Regions from separate parts of the Mus musculus genome. Here regions 2, 3, 4 and 5 are each reported to be linked to region 1. The links are microRNA targets in miRTarBase. Many come from high-throughput screens and were not tested one by one. Region 1 holds a microRNA gene; each other region holds the end of a gene's coding sequence. Distances are from middle to middle.

The links. Region 1 holds the annotated microRNA mmu-miR-495-3p (AAACAAACAUGGUGCACUUCUU, at 2,151-2,172, shown strand). A microRNA usually pairs through its seed, bases 2 to 8, with sites in the 3' UTR of a target mRNA and lowers its output. Matches are read on the target gene's strand: a 7mer-m8 pairs with bases 2 to 8, a 7mer-A1 pairs with bases 2 to 7 and ends in A, and an 8mer does both.
Region 2: miRTarBase lists D630023F18Rik as a target of mmu-miR-495-3p. The part of its 3' UTR that is shown has no 7-base or 8-base seed match.
Region 3: miRTarBase lists Bri3bp as a target of mmu-miR-495-3p. Seed matches in the 3' UTR shown: 7mer-m8 at 1,026-1,032, 7mer-m8 at 1,022-1,028, 7mer-m8 at 1,018-1,024, 7mer-m8 at 1,014-1,020, 7mer-m8 at 1,010-1,016 and 7mer-m8 at 1,006-1,012.
Region 4: the mRNA of Tedc1 is a reported target of mmu-miR-495-3p. Seed matches in the 3' UTR shown: 7mer-m8 at 2,278-2,284 and 7mer-m8 at 1,754-1,760.
Region 5: the mRNA of Srpk2 is a reported target of mmu-miR-495-3p. Seed matches in the 3' UTR shown: 7mer-m8 at 1,687-1,693.

The regions. Positions count from the first base shown.
Region 1 is chr12:109,716,645-109,720,710 of GRCm38, forward strand. It overlaps Mir495 (microRNA 495), which reads left to right and starts at 2,110; the gene lies at 2,110-2,172. Mir666 (microRNA 666) reads left to right here and starts at 441; the gene lies at 441-539. Mir543 (microRNA 543) reads left to right here and starts at 614; the gene lies at 614-689. It overlaps Mir667 (microRNA 667), which reads left to right and starts at 3,362; the gene lies at 3,362-3,453.
Region 2 is chr1:65,102,006-65,106,071 of GRCm38, reverse strand. D630023F18Rik (RIKEN cDNA D630023F18 gene) reads left to right here. Exons shown (of 8, transcript NM_001285882.1): 8 at 322-787. The coding sequence ends at 343. It overlaps Cryga (crystallin, gamma A), which reads left to right and starts at 2,709. Exons shown (of 3, transcript NM_007774.3): 1 at 2,709-2,743; 2 at 2,849-3,091. The coding sequence starts at 2,735.
Region 3 is chr5:125,454,357-125,458,422 of GRCm38, reverse strand. It overlaps Bri3bp (Bri3 binding protein), which reads right to left. Exons shown (of 3, transcript NM_029752.2): 3 at 1-4,066. The coding sequence ends at 3,670. Among named protein-coding and RNA genes, the nearest start is that of Gm40325, 8.2 kb to the left of the region's middle.
Region 4 is chr12:113,162,967-113,167,032 of GRCm38, reverse strand. It overlaps Tedc1 (tubulin epsilon and delta complex 1), which reads right to left. Exons shown (of 8, transcript NM_134041.3): 8 at 1,575-3,980. The coding sequence ends at 3,651. Among named protein-coding and RNA genes, the nearest start is that of Tedc1, 8.6 kb to the right of the region's middle.
Region 5 is chr5:23,504,254-23,508,319 of GRCm38, reverse strand. It overlaps Srpk2 (serine/arginine-rich protein specific kinase 2), which reads left to right. Exons shown (of 16, transcript NM_001359173.1): 16 at 600-4,066. The coding sequence ends at 784. Among named protein-coding and RNA genes, the nearest start is that of Kmt2e, 72 kb to the right of the region's middle.

The sequences.
Region 1 (4,066 bases):
AACCAACTATCTACCTGGAACACCTAAGAAGTCTATCTTTATTCATGTTCTTTTTTTTTTTTAATCTCAATGTTCCATTTCCCAGCAAGTGGAGGGTCAACAGAATCTGTTCTCAGAACACCACATGCCACTTACATATATTTTTGTCCAGGAGACATTGTCTCGTTCTGACAAAGGCTCAGATATCTTTTTGTTTCCCATTTCATGATAACCTCCTTGCATCAGGGCCTCCACCGTGGAACATAGGTTGATGTCCTCCCCTCTAGCAGATGGGTGGTGACCTCGACTGAGAGGTCACGGGACCCACCTCCTCTCTTGTCACGGATCCAGAGCTGGACTTTGGGAAGCAAAGTCAGGATTATTATATCATTCTCTGATGTTTGAGGAGACTCCAAAGACCTCCCCAAAGGATGACCAATCCAAAGCCTGTCTACAAGATCCTGATTCTGCCTGCGTGGAGCGGGCACAGCTGTGAGAGCCCCCTAGGTACAGCGGGGCTGCAGCGTGATCGCCTGCTCACGCACAGGAAGTGACGACAGCGGTACTCAAGCCACAGGAAGTGACGACAGCGGTACACAAGTGGTACACAGGGTTCCATGCTGCTGACGTACGGTGCTTAATGAGAAGTTGCCCGCGTGTTTTTCGCTTTATATGTGACGAAACATTCGCGGTGCACTTCTTTTTCAGCATCCTATTCTACGTTGAAGACTTCGGGGGTTCAACTACTTACTGACTTCAGGGAAGCCATGTTAGTCTAGGAAAGTAGTCTATGTAGTGAGCCTGGGTTGTGTGAGTTTATCTCCCTTCTTGAATGGTCCTCTGACCTTTCTTAATGAGAATGGGTTTGGGTTGGTTGGCTCCTGCTCCCTCCTCCCTCCTCCACAACACAGTGTCAAAGGAACCAGTTGACCAGACATTATTGATTCCTAGATGAGACCTTAGCCCACAGGGAGATGTTTGCTGAGACTTCTGGGAGGGGAATGAGTCTTCATTTCTGTGAGAGATGTCTGAGTGGATCTCACTGTTCCCTGAGTTTGAAGGCCAGCTAGAATTCAAGAGGACAGTACCCAGGGCTGTTTAGACAGAGGGGGAAGTGCCTGTCCCAGAGGAACCATGGGACATTTGAGTAACAGTACAATCTGGGACCTGCATCCGACACTCCTTGAAGCTCAACACGTCACTGTACCTTTAAGTTATATTAGCCTGGATGCCTCCTTTGTGTGTAAGTCAGCTTGAGGTGGGCCTTTCCTTACTATGAGAGGAATGGATGGCTCCTTGTTGAGTGGCCTGTCAATGAGTGTAACTGGCATTCTTTGGATGGTATGTTCTCTTGCTCATTATTCCCATTGTCCAGTCTAAGGTAGGTAGTTGGTACCAAGTCACTTTCCTTTGTGGTTCAGATATATTGCTGTAGTGTTGTAACCTTCCAGTAACGGTAACACACACTAATCAATGCGTTTTGTTTTCAGGGAAGGGTCGGTCATATGTCCCGTTCAGGACAGCCGCAAGATGATGAACGGACATTGCATCCCCAGACATCTCACACGCTCAGAATCCTGGAGCCTCCCATTTCAACCTGTTCTTCTGCTTCCCAGTACCCTGTGAGCTCTTTGTTGTATTTGTCTACATCGTAAGTCACTTCTGGGTGCGGGAGAGGGGGGACCTCAGAGGGCATCATCCAGGCACTCACACAGCTGGTTTAGGCTGCCCTGGATTTTGCCACCTAGTTCTTTGACTTTTTTTTTTTTTCTCAGCTTCAGAAGAGGATCCTGGAACTGAGAGAGGAGATTCTGTCTTGGAGTTTGGCACCATCCCATTTCCCCCGAGTGACACTTCAGAATGACTGGCAAGGATGGTAGGCAACATCTCAGAATCTTCAGTCTTCGTCCCAGGTCTTCCTGAGATCCTGAGGTAGAGGGGGTTTGGGCTGGATTGCTATGGCAGTGATGAGTACTGAGCCACTCCCCTTGCCTCAGGACCCCCATCCCTGTCCCCCTCCCGGCCAAGTATCTGCCTCACCCACCATCCCTTCCTTCCGCCTGTCCCTCAGCATCCCTTCACACTCAGGCACACTGCTGGAACAAGCAAGAGCTCAGCCGTGGTACCTGAAAAGAAGTTGCCCATGTTATTTTTCGCTTTTATTTGTGACGAAACAAACATGGTGCACTTCTTTTTCGATATCAAATCTCACCTTGGAGAGCTCCCCATGGACCAGAGGGAGGACGGGAGGCCAGGGGGTTTGGGTCACCATGTGCACAGGGGCATTTACCTCAAAGAAGCACAATTTCACCTGCCCCTCTTGGCTCTGTGCATTGTTAGGTCCAGAATGCCCACCTCCTGGGACAGGCACAGTCAGTAAGGGAAACCAGGAAGCGCACTTTTAGGCTCTGTTGTAGGATGGAGTTCAGATAAGAGAAGCCCAGAAAATTATAAAATCCAAACAATAGCAATTTAATCAAACAGCCAATACAAGCCAAACCACCAATTCCTTCTGGAGACATGTGTCTAGATGTCAGCTGCAGGTGTCTTTACCAAGATATGTCAGTTGGTGAGTGTCACATAACACTATGACTCTAGAAAAGCCTGGGCCCCAGATCAGCTCTTTACCAGCATCCTGCCATGTCTACGGGCTGTGCTCTTTGATGCCATTAGCAAGGCCTTGAGGACTGGTGGGTGCTGGCTACGATTGGGACCAGGGAACAGCAAGCTGTCATCAGCCACTGCTGCCTGTCTCTTATCTCTGATACTGGTACCCCTGCCCTCTGGAGTGGTAGATGTAAGGCGGCACTTCAGACCCCTTTTCCCTAGTGAACTTCTCTTTATGGCTAACATTCTCTGGTAGCCTCCTCATGGCATCAAAATTGCCTTTGAGTGTGGTTGTTTGAGCAGGGCCCTTTGGTGGCTCTCTTGTGAGAGTGGGAGGGAGGATACAATCCAGAGAGTATGAGAACACCTCATCCATCCATCTCCCCTGGAGGGTTTCCGAAGCTGAGCCAGTACAAGATATGGGATCACTCTTAGGCAACCCTTTGCTAGGATACTAGCTATTTCTTTCTTTGCTCAAGTTGGAATAAAAGCTTTGTTTATACTTACGTGGCTCAACAACCATAGCGCATCAAAACCCAGTGCAAACTCCATCTAAGAGGTACCAGGATTAGCCACACACTTAGCTCTTAGTTTCTACTGGCTCAGTGATGCCCTTGGGCTGTGGCTGTACCTGTGTTTTGGCTTCTGCCTATAAAAGATGGAAACACCTTTGGAAAAGCAGCAACTCTCCCTTTATACCCATGGAGAAAGGCTAAGGGGCATGGAACAAGCATGGTCAACCCATTTTCTTAGGTTGAAAATCCCTTTCCATCTAGTGGGTACTGGCCTCGGTGCTGGTGGAGCAGTGAGCACGCCATACATTATATCTGTGACACCTGCCACCCAGCCCAAGGCCCCTAGGCCCACAAACTTCTGGAGGGGAGTTTGTCTTGGATTCATCCAAGGAATGCAAAGGACACCTGGACAGAAATGCCTCTGGTGGTCATCCCAAGGTAACCGGACTTGTTCAGTTCCATTTCACATTTAGCTTTGTGCTTTATTGGCAGGCTTCTAAGGGCTGCTATTCACCCCTACATCCCAGGTACGTATAGGCCCAGAGGGAGCCTTCCATCTTTGAGGGTAGAATATTCTCTGGGCACAATACCTCACCAGCTGTCTTTTTCACAGGAGAAGCCTGGGCAGGATTGCCGCAGCTGTTCCAAGAGGCCCCAAGGGACAGTGTCCACATCATGGTGTTTGTTCGTGGAAGATATTAAACGCTGACCTCTTTTTGAGCACAAAATCCCTCCTTGAAGGGCTCTCTGTACCCGGTGTCAGGTTCAGGAACACGATGTGGGCATCAGCCCCTTGCTGATGGTATGTGAGCAGATGTCTGGCCAGATGGCAAGTGCTTTTGTTTATTTATTTTCTTATTTTGAGACTTGAGAGTTTATTGAATGAATCATCCTATAATCCAATTTCCCAAGGCAAATCTGTACATAAAAATCTAGTTTCTATCACATCGCTTCCTTCTTAATTG
Region 2 (4,066 bases), not on the chromosome of region 1:
GCCAATTATTAACGTCAGAATCTAAAACATTGCTACCTTTATCTAATCTATCACCCAAAGAGCATTTTATTTTCAAAAAATAAAATAAAATAATGTCCCCTATAAGGATTTAATGTGAGATCGCATATTGCCTTCAGTTGAGAAATACAACTCATTTTCAGATATTTCAGAACCGTTCTGTGGAAATCCTTTCACATCTACACGAGTCTAATCCCTCTCTGTTGGTGTCTGATATTTGACCTTAACTCCAATAGAAAGCTGGTGTATGTGTCTGTGTTATACAGATGTGCTTGGTACCAAAGCCATCCTTTCATTCTGCAGGTCACTTAGAAACGTGGACTAGTGCTGTGGACGTGTAAGAGCTTCTAGGAGCAGCCAGGATGCCTCGCCTTAAAGCTACAGCTGTCACCAGCACCCACTTCTTCTTCAGTGAGCTCTTAATGCAAACTGCATTGACTATCATGTTTGCCACTGAGCCGTCTTCTTTTGGAAGCATATTGCACACCTGCATTTTGACAAAAAGGAGAAATGTGTCTATCCTCTGCTATTTCATTCTGTGTCTGGAAGACTACTGGAGCATCCAGAGGGGGTTCACTATTTCTGGGTGGGTCCAGACAATCTGACTTTGATACACATCTTAGAAAATGTGTATCATTAAATATAGCATAGAATTCTGGAGAAGGAGGTGGTTTTCCAAAAGTTTTTAACCCCAAATAAAACCAATTTCTCATTAGCATAACTTTCAGAGAAAATGTAAACTCATTCCACTTCAATAAAGTTTGAAAAGAGAACTGGATGTCAGCTCTTTCTGGGTAGAACGCGATGACCAATGGGGAAAGAAAATATGCTGCTCTTTCCTGGCCTTTGCCAAGTGCCAACAGGCACATGGCTCAACCAGTTAGCAAAACAACTTCATCAGGTTAATGTCAGAACACATCACACTGTCTCCTCTTTCTTAACAACTGGGCCAACCATCTTTCTGCGCGATGCTCTTGGTGCCACATGCAAACTCAGGGGAGTTTGTTGACCTCTTCTGAAAATATGAGGTACTCCCACGTGGGGTGGTGGCTGGGGAGATCAATGTGGGCCTTTCTGCCTGGGGCTTAATCACAGTTGAACTTGAAGTTCACCAGGACACTTGGAACACTAGGATGGAGGCAAAAGAGGACATCAGTGGCCTGTAGCCCTTTCCAATGCTCCAGCCACTGAGGACTTGGCTCAGTCTGCTTCTGCGACGCTTCTCTATGGTCTGCTTCTGCGCAGCCTCGCTATGGTCTGCTTCTGCGCAGCCTCGCTATGGTCTGCTTCTGCGCAGCCTCGCTAACTATGAGAAGACGATTCTTGCTCTCCATCCTTTCACGGTCTGTCCATGCCCTGTAAGTGATGCCTAAGGATTTTCATGCAGCTATTGTGCCTGCATTGCTAACTCTAGTTGGGTGTCCTCATGGACATGGCTTCACTACCTAAAATATGCACAGAATGGGATGACAGCAGACATTCCAAGGCTGGACCATCCTCCATGCCTGCAATTGAGAAGCACATCAAGTCAGTTATGACTGCCATCCTGGCTCAGGGAAGCCGACAGTTTGGTGAGGGGGAAAACAGACAAGTCAGAGCACTGGTTTTATGAACAAAAGGTAATTCTGGAAGAAGCGGGGTGGCAGGAAGAACGGCTGTCTTCTCCTAAACAGTGTGCCTCAGATTCTTCAGAGAGCTTTTCATTTTAGACCAAGAAGAAGTGTTTCACTTTATCATCATCCCAAGCATATATATTATATTTATTGATTTTACTATTTTCATCCACTGAATTTGGTGTGTGTGTGTATGTGTGTGTGTGTGTGTGTGTGTGTGTGTAAAATTAAAAAATTTTTAAATCAAAAGAAAGAAATAAAATGAAGACCTACGGGGCTGGTGAGATGGCTCAGTGGTTAAGAGCGCCGACTGCTCTTCTGAAGGTCCCGAGTTCAAATCCCAGCAACCGCATGGTGGCTCACAACCATCCATAACGAAATCTGATGCCCTCTTCTGGAGTATCTGAGGACAGCTACAGTGTACTTATAAATAAATAAATAAATCTCTAAAACAAACAAACAAACACCATTTTTTAAAAAATGAAGAAAAAAAAATGAAGACCTACATATACACTTACCACTCACTGATGACCATGGCTGACATTTTAGTCTATACACAGGTCTAATCTTTTTATCTTAAACACGTGAAAGTTTTAAAAACATCAAACCCATATTCTACAGATAAAGACACACAAGTGTTTTTCAATTAGAGAAATGTATTGGTTTTTCTGCTGCTACCTCTTGGCTCCTGAGAGTGCCTCTGGAACTCGTGCTTCTCATGAGCTCCCACAAATGGAGGCCCCACCCTCCACCTCAGCAGTTTCTATAGGCAAACACTGCAAAATGCTGGGTGCATAATGCATTTCGAGCGCGCTGCATAGGGTGAGAAGCGCGCCCTTTGTCTCCAAGGTCATAATGGCTCTGCTGACTTGAATTCCTTTCACTGAGATAGTGAGGACAACTCGAAAATGCCAGAGAGAACGAGAGCCCCCTACCCCATGATCCCAAATGACAAAGCGCGAGGACACAGAAATCCCCTTACACATCCCCCCAGGCCCCTTTTGTGTGGTTCTTGCCAACACAGCAGCCATCCTGCTGTATATATATCAGCTGCCACTCCTGTCCCCATCATACTCAACACTGACCATTTGCTGTCAACAACGATGGGAAAGGTGAGCCAAAGGAGAACCCTCCCCGAGTCTGTTGAGTGCCCCCTCTGGGTGGGGGATGCGCCTTCGAGTTGACCATGTGATGTTACACCGTTTCTTCCTTTACAGATCACCTTCTACGAGGACCGCGGCTTCCAGGGCCGCTGCTATGAGTGCAGCAGCGACTGCCCCAACCTGCAGACCTACTTCAGCCGCTGCAACTCCATCCGTGTGGACAGTGGCTGCTGGATGCTCTATGAGCGCCCCAACTACCAGGGCTACCAGTACTTCCTGCGTCGCGGGGACTACCCTGACTACCAGCAGTGGATGGGTTTCAGCGACTCCATCCGCTCCTGCCGTTCCATTCCATACGTGAGTATTGCTTCAGCCTGGCTGATGTGAGAGAACACTAGGTCTTCCTGATGGTCAGTTTGTTCCAGTTCGTGTTCTAATGCCCTAAGCAAGGCTAGGAACGCGTGACAAGTGCTCACAGTTATATCAAGACCCGACTCTTAAGGCTAAATAGAATATAAGCAATATATTATTTCTTACTTAAGGGCATTAGTGTTTTAGGACATAAGAAACCACAGCATGACCTTTAAAATTAATCTTGGCCGAATAAATACATACCCTTCAGCCATAAAAGAAGGAAATCCTATCATTTGTGATGACATGGATGAACCTGGAGGGCACTGTGCTAAAAGAAAGGAGTCAAGTATGTAGTGATAAAGGCCACAAGTTCTCATTTTTATGGGGGATCTACAGCAGCAGGTTTATGGCAAGAAGATCAGGCTCGTTGATTTAGCTCAGCAGTAGTGTGCTTGTCTAGCAGGCATGCAGCCTTGAGTTCTGTTATCAGCACCAGGCATAAAAATATAGAGGCTAGGGCGGCAACGCAGAGGACCAGAGGCTTGGAGTGACAGTCAGAAAAAGAAAAATTGCTGCTGGAGAGAACTATGATCTAGACATCTACTGTATAGCACAGTGATGACTGTTCATGTTATGTATTAGAGTTATTAAAAATTGCTGAAAGGTGAGGCTGGAAGATGGCTCAGTGGTTAAGTGCACTGCCTACCCTTCTAGAGGACCTGGGTCTGTTTCCCAGTGCCCACAAGTGGCTCACAACTGTGCGTGACTCCAGTCCTAAGGAATGCCATGCTTTCTTTTGGTCTCCATGAGCTCCAAGCACAACTCACGTAGTGCACTTACAAACATGCAGGTAAATATTCATAGCCATGAAATTAAAAGAAATATATCTTAAACACACAATAAAAATGCTGAGTGGATTCTATGTATTCTCAGCACAAAAATAATAATTATGTGGGGCAAATGTGTATTAATTAGCTA
Region 3 (4,066 bases), not on the chromosome of region 1:
CATCTCTAAAACCCCGAACCATAGGGCCAGAGAGGCTGCTCAGTGGTTAGAGCACACCGGCTGTTCTTCCAAACAACCTGGGTTTGACTTTTTCAGCATCCACAAGGCAGCTGACAGTTATCACTAATTCCAGGGCGATCTGACACCCTCTTCTCCTCTCTGCAGGCACCAGGCAAATACGTGGTACACAGACATACAAGTGTGACAAAAACAAAAAAAACAAAAACAAAAAAAAAACCACCCATATACATAAAATAATTCAAAATAAAACACCACCATCAAAAATCACCAACCCCAATACCCTAAGCTAAGCCCAGTCAGTACACTTCAGAGGCAACCAGTCCTGTCCTCGGTAAAGCAAGTACCTAATATGAGAGACGACCACCAGGGAGTTAATACTGACTTTGAGACAGTTATAATCCTTACACTATCTTTTCATTTAAAAAAAAAAAAGTATATATGTATTTATTGGGGCCAAGGGGTGGGAAGCCACAGCCCATGCGTAGAGGTTAGAAGGAAACCTGTGGGAGTGGTCTGTCTTTTTTCACCATGTTGGTCCCGGGAATCAAACTCAGGTTTGGTGGCAAGTGCCTTTCTTCATTGAGCCATATCGCCTGCCCCGCCCCTTATCTATAATAGATCCACAGTGGCTGCTGTCCAAATGTTTATCATGTTATTCGGTTAAGGAGGAGTTGTACACAGCCCTGAAGATAAGGCATGAAATAAGGTACAAAAATACATCTTTCCACATACAAAAGAGATAGGGGGAGGGGGAAGGGAAGGGAGGCCAATAAGCTGTCCACGGAATGAAAGAAGAAAAGAAAAAAATCTTTAACTACTGGGGGCTATGATTACTTCCAAACAATGCCAGGCATGGTGGTGCAACACCTTTAATACCAGCAATCAGAGGCAGGTGGATCTCTGCAAGTTAGAGGGCAGCCTGGTTTACACAGAGAGTTGCAGGACAGCCAGGGCTATGTAGAGAGACCCTGCCTCAAAAAGAAAAACAAACAAACAAACAAACAAACAAACAAGCTAAAATATATGCATCAAACACAGTAACACCATCTGAAGTTTTTTTGTTTTGTTTTGTTTTATTTTTTTTTGTTTTTTGTTTTTTTGATTTTCGAGACAGGGTTTCTCTGTGTAGCCCTGGCTGTCCTGGAACTCACTCTGTAGACCAGGCTGGCCTCGAACTCAGAAATCCGCCTGCCTCTGCCTCCAGAGTGCTGGGATTAAAGGCGTGCGCCACCACGCCCGGTTGAAGTTTTTAAAAACAAAAAAACTACTAGAATTTCAAGTAACATTCTACTCTGATTTGTACATTCTTCCACTAAGAATGAAGGTATCCAGGACTGGACTCTTGAGTGCTCTCTTAACATGCATAGGCCGCGTTCACCCCAAGGCGTTCGAACAATGGGGGCGTAGTCACATGTGCACATCATTCCTGCACTCGGGCTGGGGGCAGGAGAGTTTAAGGCCAGTCTCAGCTACTTAGCAAGTTCAAGGCCAGTCTTAAATACATGAGACCCTGTCTCAAAAAATCATAATAACTAGATGTAAAAATTAAAATGAAGGCATCTTGTGTATGTATATATATAGTGTATATATACAAATAATACATGAATATATATAGCATATATATGTATATACACATTATATATATTCAACTATAAAACTGGCTTTAGAGTCTACATTTGGTCAGACTGGAAAAAAATATTGCAGATTTTTACCTTTTTTGTTGCTATTGTTTTGAGACAAGGTCTCAGTGTATTAAAACTGCCTGTCCTGGAACTCACTACATAGACCAGACTGGCTTTAAACTCCGATGTGCCTGCCTCTGCTCTCTTGTGCTACCATACCTGGCTTTTGGTCTCGCTATGTAACCCTGGCTGACCTGAAATAGACCACTTAAGACCTGGCTGGCCTTCAAATAGCAGCAATCCTCCTGCCTCTGCCTCCTGAATACTGGGTGGAGTTGCAGTCTTAGCTACAGTGGACTGTATAGGAATCGACCTACAACATCTCAAGTGGCCACTGAGAGGAGCCAAGGCAAGAAGGTTTAGCTTTACAGAGAGTGACTGCCCCCTAGCCAACATCTGAAAAGTAATCTTTTAGTATGATATGACCAGACATCTGGAAGGAAAGATATTAACAGCCAAGGTGCCCCTTCTCGGCTACTTCCACCCTGTGCCGCGAGTAGATATGCCTAGAGCATCTAAACAACAAAATCGGAATGTTTCACATCACAAGTTGTGGATTTCCAATGTCTGTGGAGAGATTTCCCCAGTACCGGTTCCAGAAGGGAATGAAATTCAAGAAAATGAGAGTCCCATACTGCCTGTCACCTCGAGAACAGAGGTCTCTCTCGGCCACATCCTCAAAGACCCAAATCTGTGTGACAGATACCTGTAACCAAAGACAGAACTTCACAGACATACGGCACCAGAGCTGCCATCAGCTGGGTCCCCCTCCAAGCTCAAGTTGGGACTCAGTGGCTCCACAGTCCTCACGGGCGACCCTAGTGACATCCCACAAAAGCCAGCTCTCTTTCCACAGAAGCTGGCAGAGAGGTCTCTGCACCCAGGGGTTTAGCTATTAACAAGCAATGCCCTGGACCCCAGACTTTAAAAAGCACCTAACACAATTATAAAAATTTCAGGACAAACGATTCAGATCTCAAGGTTGCTTATGCCTACGAATGTTCTAGAAGGAATGAAATAAAGGATGTTACTGGCCGTGAACGGTTCCTTTTTCTTCTATGGTCCCGAGTCAATTAGAAGCAAAGGAAACAAGTGATTCCCATGAGGGTCCAGCCGGCTATCTGGGCCTCGCTGGCCAACAGGGAATGTGAGATTCAGCTGGATTCTGGAATGATCTTCGGGGCCTACCCGGTTCTTAGCATCAAACTCCAAAGACAGTTTGCAGCTCCATCCATGTCCTTTCTTCCTGGAAAGGCTAGGGTTAATCTACATTGAAGTCCAGAGAAGAGAAAGAGATCTCGGGACGTCTGTGGGTACCTTCATTCAGAAATACAATGGACAAGGGTGGGGGGGTGGGCTCAGTATCCCCAGCACCATACAAAACAGAAATAGACATGGAGGGGCACAATGGACGAAGAGCTCACAGGATCCCTAGGATCCAATCCTCTGAAGCCCAAGTGTCCACAAGAACAAGAGACAGCACTTGTTAACCAGGTCACCACCAACCCCAGAAGACACGAAATAAAGGTCACATTCGGGAAGACGAAGAGATTGCACACGGTGCTCACCCACAAGCCAATTTTAACCTCCTTAAGGACGTCAAGCGTTCCCTTCAAAGCTCTGATAAACTTGACTCCATCTGCCTTTATTTAAAAACCTTACAAAAGATGTATTTAAATGTTTGGGAAGAAAAATCAACATTATGTTCTATGCACAGGTAAAGTTATCCGACTACACAGCTAACAGGGGGTATATCCGTTGTTTAAAAACTGCTTTCCCACTGGTGATCTACGAAAGTGCTCTCTCCTCCAGTGGCTCCTAAGGTCGACACACAGTGGGAAATACCAGGCGTGGCGTTTTTGCTCAGTTTATTGGGAGGGTTGGGATTTGGTGGGGTTGCCGGCTCTTCTCTTCTTCTTCTGTCTTTTGACATCACTAGCTGGTTGGACGGCTAGGCAGCTGACCTTCACTTGTCCTTGGAGCGGTCAAGGTTCTCGAGCACCCTGTTGAGGCGGATGTTAAGCAACCTCACCTGGTTCTCCAGGTGTTCCAGCTTCTCCTCCACACTGGGGCTGCAAAGGCCACCGGGGCTGCCCCGCCAGTAGCCCATGGGCCCCGTCATGAAGTAGATGGCCACCACGACGCAGAGCGGTAGCACTGCGTGCTCTGGCTCGCCCTCGTACTTATGTAGGATATACACGCAGGACATGGAGAACAGGATGACACGCACGAGCCAGAAGAAGCGGCCAAACACCAGGTGGAGGAGGCTGAAGGTGAAGCCCAAGGTCAGAGACAAGAACCAGTAGGCCAGGAGAACCACACCAACCAGCACCAGGGCCCGGGTGGGGCTGTTGGACACTGAG
Region 4 (4,066 bases), 3.4 Mb from region 1:
ACTGAGGCAGGACCAGACACTGCTGAGCATGGTTAAAAGCTGATGAGCGTCCATTTTGTGTTGAACTGTAAACACCCAACATTTTGTTTTGTGCAGATGAGCAAAATAGCAGCAGGTGTAGGCCACAGGCCTTTGAGTGGCAGGAAGACCCTTCCTGGAGGGCTGGCAGCCTCAAGCAGGGACCTGTCTGCCAGGCAGTCCTTTCTCTCAAAGCTGGTGGCACTGCTCTCAAAGTAGCTGGCTGTTTTAGACACTTCACTGGGAATATGCCACCGTAACTGGACACCTAACCCAAGAGGCCTTGCCTGAGTCCCCGCTACTCTGCAGGACGACCCCGGCAGTCTTGAAAGGCACCATCCCAGGTATGACCCTCAAACTCTTTCTCACTCTGAGTGTGAAGAGGGCTGCCTCCTCAGTACCTCAGCAAGAAGCCAGTGCTGAGAGAAATGGGAGCTGGGCCCATTTGTGTAAACAGAATCCTCCATTAACAAACATGTCGTACACCCGTACATCCCCTCCTGGCTATACAACCAGGCTGCTCAGCTTTCTCCAGTCAACTGGGAGACATCGGAGATGCCCCAGGTGCTGCACTCGGCCCAGTGGCAGCAGTGAAGATGGCAGAGTGGAGGTGGAAAGTGATGGGGGAGAGACTGCAGGCCAGCACTAGGTCTTGGAATTACAGAGGATGCTCTCAGTGTCTACACAAGTATGCAGGAGGGCTGCAGGCTGACCCGTTACCCGGGGCTGACCCACCCACCCGTGTTATATGAAGGGCGAAGCTTCTTACAGCATCTTCATGGGATGGGGAGAACACCCACACCTACCCTTGTTCTAGCACATTCCATGAATGAGATTATTGTGCCAGTCTTTTTCTGGCCGATTAACTGGGTTCTCTTTCGGTGCTAGGTGCACCCTCTGCACTGCTTTATTATAATAAACAAAACTGTTTATTATTATGGCCTCGTTAAATATCATACTGCTTTTTTAAAGCTGTTTTTTGATTTTGCTTTTTAAGACAGGGTTTCTCTGTGCAACTGCCTTGGCTGTCCTAGAACTCACTTTGTAGACCTGCCTGCCTCTTCTGCCTCCTAAGTGCTGGAACTAAAGGTGTGCGCCACCTCACCCAGATTCAAGATTACTGAATTTTTACACTCAGGACTGCAGCATCCTTTGGCGTCTCTTAACATCGTGGGTATTTCTGGTTTCTGTAGTTATATAGCTCCCGGGCAGTCCCATCCAGGCCTGTGCATGTACAACTAATTCTCTGGGATAGGCCTAGAAGTGGTTCTCCCCATCCACTGCGTTGGTTCCTTCCCCCACCCAAAGCCGTTTCTCAGCACACCTTCCGGCCTGTAACTGGCACCCCCTTCCCATTCAACCGGCAGCCATGAAGATGACTACTTACCGATCTCAGTTCCTGCCTTGCACAGCAACCCTTCCATGACTGATGTCCTGTTGCACACCGAACCATTTGCAAACGTAACTGACACTCCCAGCCCAAACTGTTTCCACCGCCACCACCACCTCAAACCAAGATGGAGATGAAATCCAATTTCACATAAGACACTCAAGCGTTCCGCCATTGAGACACATCTTATTAATGTCGACTTTTAAACAGAAGTTTCTAGTTTTGACAAGAGTTGGAATTACTAAACTTCCCTTCCAGTCAGCACATTCCGGTGTCAGGAATCCACCTCTGGTATTCCCCACTACCTCAAGCAAGGAGGTGTCTGCCTTGGGTGGGAACCCAAGGAACAAACTCCATGTCCTCACTGGTTCGAGAGCATGGCCCCACTGTCCACCTGCTGGCCTCAAATGTACCCGTGGGTGGCCAGAGCTTCAGTTCTCGTGACAAGTATTAAAGATGCTGCGGACCTTAGGATCAGGTTGGGAGTCCTGGCGGACAACGTGGTCTTCCTCAGAGGCAGGGAGGATAGGGTTGATGGTGGTCCCTAATGCCTGATCTGTTATGCTGCAGGACCCTGGAGCAGCACGGTCATCAACCTGTGAACTTGCCCCAGGACGTCAGGATCTGCCAGGGACATTGTGGCCAACTGACACTACATTTTATTCCTACTTGACTGTGTGGCTCCCAAGTATGGGAGCTGAGGACACAGAGCACTGAGACCACAAACGTGGGCTATTTCAAGCCCTTGTGTGGAAAAGCTAGTTCTGAGGTCCTTCCCAGGTGACAACTTGACCAAGGATGAGTCCCATGGCTAAGCCCCCTACCCCTACAGGCTCTTGCCTTCTCATGGCCTGAGACAGACAGACACAAACAAACACACACACACACACACACACACACACACACACACACACACACACACACACACACACACACAGAGGATTCTGACAGGAATTGCACTAACTCTGCAGAGCAGATGGAGAAGCGAGAGCTCTGAATCCGCTTTGGATTTTTAAGGGTGAGTTCCAGAGGACCACTGGAAGTCCTAGAGCAGGGCAGTTTTCAGAGACAGCGAGCTTAAGTAGATTTGTTTATAGACCACATCACAGTCATGAGGAGCCAGACAGTCAAGTTCCCACATGCCCTGGACCAGAGCCGGAACCCACTGGTGGAAGCAGCAAGAAGAGCTGAACAAGTGTTCGCAAGCAGGAACAGGGGCTGCGGGCCAGGAGGTCCAGCAGAGGCCCAGCGGCAGGCAGGAGGTTCCAGAGATTCTAGGAGCTATGTCCGTAAAAGTTAGGAAGGACCTATTAGACACTGGCCATCCAGAAGTGGGCTAGGAACATTCACTGTAGCTAACCATATGGTGTCCTGCCTCAGGGCCACAGGCCACCTGTACCCAGACATGAGCTGTCACTCCAGCACACACCACCAGACAAGCAGGAAACCCCCATGAAAGAATGTTTTAGTGTTCAAGGCTCCGAGTCACGTAGTGGCTTCTGGCCTAGATAAGCAAGAGACAGAGGCTGCCTGGTGGGTCCTACCGGCTGTCCAGTGCCTGGTCAGTGTTTGGAGCTGGGGATTGGAAGGAAGGTAGGGCTAGAGACCATGGAACCCGCTTGAGCCTGCTGGCTGGGAAAGACTGGGTTAGGACAGAACTATCCCACCAGGCTGTACGCACGTCCCGGACACAGGCTGCTTTGTGAGCGCCGAGCTTGCCCAGCAGCCTTCAGAACAAAAGCCTTCTGTCTGCACCGCAGCTTCCTCTCCTCCGGTCTCCCAGGCAGAGCCCCCAGGCTCCCATCCAGCTTCCCACCACACACACACATCAGGCGCATCCGTGGCCCAGTACAGGAGGGAGCTCTGCTGCAGGAGGCATAGAGCCAGAGTCTAAGAAAGAGGTTCAGGGAAACAACCAGAGCTGTTCCACTCAGGGAGGCCCAATACTTCCTGTACTTTGGGGCATGTGTGATTACAGCATGGTGCCAACCGTACGCTACACACATCCCAGTGTGCCAAAAAGAGGAAGATAAAGGGACAGTGGAAGAGGGCAGCAGCCAGGTATCCCCAGGAACAGCTCTACCGCGTATATATAGGTCCCCTCCAAACCTCTCAGGAGGACCAGACTGTTGTAACACCAAAACCATAGGCGAAAGGGCTCTGGCCCTGGAGGGAACACAAGCCTGGACCTCTCTGCTCCTTGCCTCTGAGATCCTACACAGATGGCTACATCCTAGGGCCTTCAGTGTTCAGGAGGCAGAATCCAAATCAAGCCAGGCAGAGCACCAGCCAGCCTGGCTAGCTCCTGCTGACATTGCCGCTGCAGTTGGTGCAACGCCTTCTTCAGACAGGCCTCCTTGGCGCTCAGTGTCCTGATCACCTCGGCTGCCTGTAGGCCTTGGGGTCTTGGTGCCCCATCTTTACTTCTCACCAGTCGATGGGGTCTTTGTGGCTGGCCAGGGGTACTGGATTGCTCCCAGGACCCCTGCAGGGCTGCCAACTCCTGCTGGACAGCCTCCTGTAGGGCCTTCCTTGAGTTGCTCCATTCTGGCCCCTGACCTAGGCCTCCAACCTGCGTGAGAGAAGGTACAGATGCTCTTGAGCCAAGGGCAGCTCTGTTCCCAGAATCCAGGATCCAGGTGCTCCCAGCAACCCTGC
Region 5 (4,066 bases), not on the chromosome of region 1:
ATTTTACTATAAATGAATAGAGATAAAAATTCGTTGTTTTGGGTTGCTAGTAGCTGCTTGAGGCTATTTCTTAAATTTAGACAAAGTAGAGTTCCTATGCTCTGTAGGTGTACTAACCGTGTGCCTGTTAGCCCTGTGGAGCCAGTGGACAGCACAGTTCAAAAGGACATGTGCACCATCAGAAAAAGTTAGATTTGCATTGAGGTAGAAGCACATGTGAAAACACAGCAACAACTTCAAATAGCCTGCATCATCCAGGTATCCTAAGCCAGTTTACAGATGGCGGCGGCACCACGAAGCTGGAGTGTGAGCAGCTCTCCAGTGGGAAGCAGACACTCTCAGTGCTTTTGCAGCTCAAGAAGCACAGAGCTGATTTATTTGTTCAGACGTAACCCATTTACACTCACCTAGCGTGCTTCGACTTGACCCTTAGCTCTTCAATGAGACTTGCTTAGGGGAGAAAAGCTAGCGTTCTTTGTTGTAGCCAATGGTTTGAGAGGTAAAATGTCTGCTGCAGTGAGAAGAAGCCTGTCTGGCTCAGGTCATCCTGAGATGTGCACTCGTGGAGCGTCTCTGATGCTGTACTTCTCTCTCTCCAGGAGAACTGCGGCACATCACCAAGCTGAAGCCCTGGAGCCTCTTTGATGTACTTGTGGAAAAGTATGGCTGGCCCCATGAAGATGCTGCACAATTTACAGATTTCCTGATCCCAATGTTAGAGATGGTTCCAGAAAAACGAGCCTCAGCTGGCGAATGCCTTCGACATCCTTGGTTGAATTCTTAGCAGATTCTACAAATATAGCATTCTGAGCTAGCAAATTTCTCCCAGTACATTGGACCTACACAGTGGCTCTCATTCTTTAACAGGATTACCAGTGAGCTGGCTCCACCCTCAGACCTTTGTAGTGCTTTGAGGTACTGTTGTTTGACACTTTGCTTCCTGTGCACCATGGTCCTGGGGAAGGCTGGTCTTTGTCTTCAGCTAAGTAGTTTACTGGCCATTTTCTTCTGGAAACAATAACATGTCTCTAAGCATTGTTTCTTGTGTTGTGTGACATTCAAATGTCTTTTTTTTTTTTTGAACGAAAAATACTTTCCCTTTTGTGTTTTGGCAGGTTCTGTAACTATTTATGAAGACATATTTTAGCTGAGTATTATATAATTTACAATCTTAAGAAATTATCAGTTGGAACCAAGAAAGAGCAAGGAAATGTACAATTTTATCGTCTGGCAAAGGGAAATCATTCCTGTATTATACTAGTGTATGTAACTATTACTTTGCATAAATAGGGGATGAGGATTCACATTCAGAAAAGCTACCCAGTCCTGAGCGCTTTTTGGCCTACATTGCATGTTGCAGATTTCCACTGCTTCAGAAAGTTGCACAAACTTTTCATTCCATAACAACCCAAGTGGTTCTGGACGAGGTGCCATGCCCTCTGTGGCACTTTAAAGAGAGAAAAACTTTAAAAATTTGACACTATAATCTAGCAGTTCCATTTGTATTTTGCATATTTTTAAGCTATGTTTAAAGTATCAGTCATTTCCACTTAAAATGTGATGGCCCAATCCCCGGTAGTGTCACCTCTCACCAGCACTGTAAGTTAAATACGTAGATTAAATTGGACAAGAGAAATATGTTCAGTGTGTGGAATGAAAAAAATATTTTTTGAAAAGCATGATCGTGTTTGTTTAAAACACAAGGCGTGGCTTAGACAGTTTGCAACGCAGTGGACCGAGCACTCCTCACAGCTTCAAGGTAACAGCGACCGTGCCCATGCCGTCCTAGGCAGCTTCCCTTCCCTCGCCTTTTCCTTACCTCCCATGAATGAGAAGGCCATTTCCCCTTTGCAGACCGCATACAGTTTTAGTTTATGCATTTCCTTAAAATTAACTGTAGAATCCAGGATACAAACCATTAGTAGGCAATACTATTTTAGAATGTAACATAGGAGGTGTATTTAGCCTCTTTTAGAAGTCAGTGGGTTGAATGTCTTTTTTTTAAAAATTTTTATTCATTAAGGTGCCTCGTTTTTCTTGACTTTGTCCATTAACATTTATTCATATGCCTTTGCAATAATTAGATTGTGAAAAGCTAACAAGTGTTGTAACAATAATCCTTTGTTTGGGGTGCTTGCACTTGTCTTAAAAATTAAAGTGTTTTGGGGTGTTTTTCCAGACATTGCCTTGCTTATTACCCTGTATTTCAAGAGACAGAATCAACATACCTTTGCTCTCTGTAGTGTCAACAAAGCTAAAGGAGTTGCAGATTGTCACAGAACATACATTAAGGCAGAATGGATTTATGAACGAGGCTTTAGTTATAGCTTCATTATCTACAATGTGGGTGTTCCCTTTTTTTAATCAGTGTTTCATCGTAAGTGCAATGGTTTCCTCCCCTGTCCCCTCCAATCTTTCCCTGTGTGAACAAGACACATATCCTTCTTAGGGTTTAACATTTTTATATCATACACTGTAGTAAGATAGACGATGCCACTCATTCACAAACTATGCATGCTGGGTTTTTCCAATGAGGCTGTGCGTTTCCTTATAGAGCCTATGACAAATGGTGGCTGCTGAGTCATGATTTCTATAGAAACATTCCTATAAGAACCACAGAGTGTGTTTATGTTTTCCCTACCTCTGAAAGAACTTTTACCATTTGAATGAAATTTGTCTAATGAGGTTAGAAATGTCAAATTGGAAAAGGAAGCTAGAATATTAATCTTAAGGTGGTTCTTCTATTAATAATACCCTAGCGAGTGTATGATATACCAAGGAGTTCTAGCATACACTTTTGTGATTGGGTACCATATGGTTATATCTGATTCTTGGTAGCATGATGATAAAGAATAAATGTAAAGGTTGGGTGTGGTGGTGCACTCCTTTAATATCAGCACTTGGGAGGCAGAGGCAGGAAGATCTCTGAGGCCAGCCTGTTCTGCATAAGCTCCAGGCCACCCAAGGTTATATAGTGAAGGAAAATCTAGGAAGAAAAAAGAATAAAAGCTTAAAGTGAACCATTGGTTATTTGGAACATTATAGCCAAGTCAGTCTTTTTAGTGAAAAGACCCTATGAAATCTTCATGGAAAATTACAAGCAGTGGGTCTCACATGTGACTTTAGCAGATCCAGAAATAGCTAATCTAAAAAATGGCAGAACCATCCAGAGAAAAAGTAGTAGGGAGTGTAAAAGAAGTCTACTCTTTAACGAGATCTGCTTGTTTGTCCATATTCCCTGCACCATGCATAACTTAACAGGTATGAGTAAAAAAAACTTTCATTGGAATAGAAAACACGTTCGGATTATTTTTCTTTTCTTATTTTGTGAGGCAAGGACTCGGAGATCTGCCTACCTAGGCATGCCACCCCTCACTACCCCCCCCCCCACACACACACAATCTCTCTCTGAATTAGAAGTTTGTAGAGTGTGTCCATTAAAGATTCTATTTAGTTGAAGTGTTTCAGTTTGCAGAAGAGCTCTCGTTATGAATTACTTAGCTAGCTGGCTACTTTAAGTCTGTGGACAAGTGATTTTAAGGGTGAATATTGCCATTTCTTTGGTCTGTCTGAAATTGTCATGGAGGGACACAATGTGAACCTGTCAGTTTTCAGATTCAGGTTTCTTTGGTAAGCATCCTAAGGAGAACATGGGCAAGTTTCTTCAGAAACTTGGGTCACTGATTTTAAGCCCTAAATGAGCTGTATTCTCGAATATCATCAGAGTTAATTTTCAAATGGGAATTAAATGATAAAACATGATTTAAGTCACTACCAAATCTAATTTCTTGAGTTTGCTGTTTTTCCTGATGCACAAAATTTATATACTGGGCCCAATTGTGTCACATGTTTGGAAGGTGGTAAATAGGGCCACTCCTGAGAGGTAGACAGCAGAAGCTGATAATTAAAAAAAAAAAGTCACAACTGGTATATCTTCTTTCAGTAATAAAATATTCACTGAAACCCTCTTCATTCTATTTGACGTATTTCAGAATAATGCCTTTCGCCCTTGGTTTTGTTTAAAGAGACCTATTTTCTACAACTTAAAGCCCTAAAGCTAGTATTA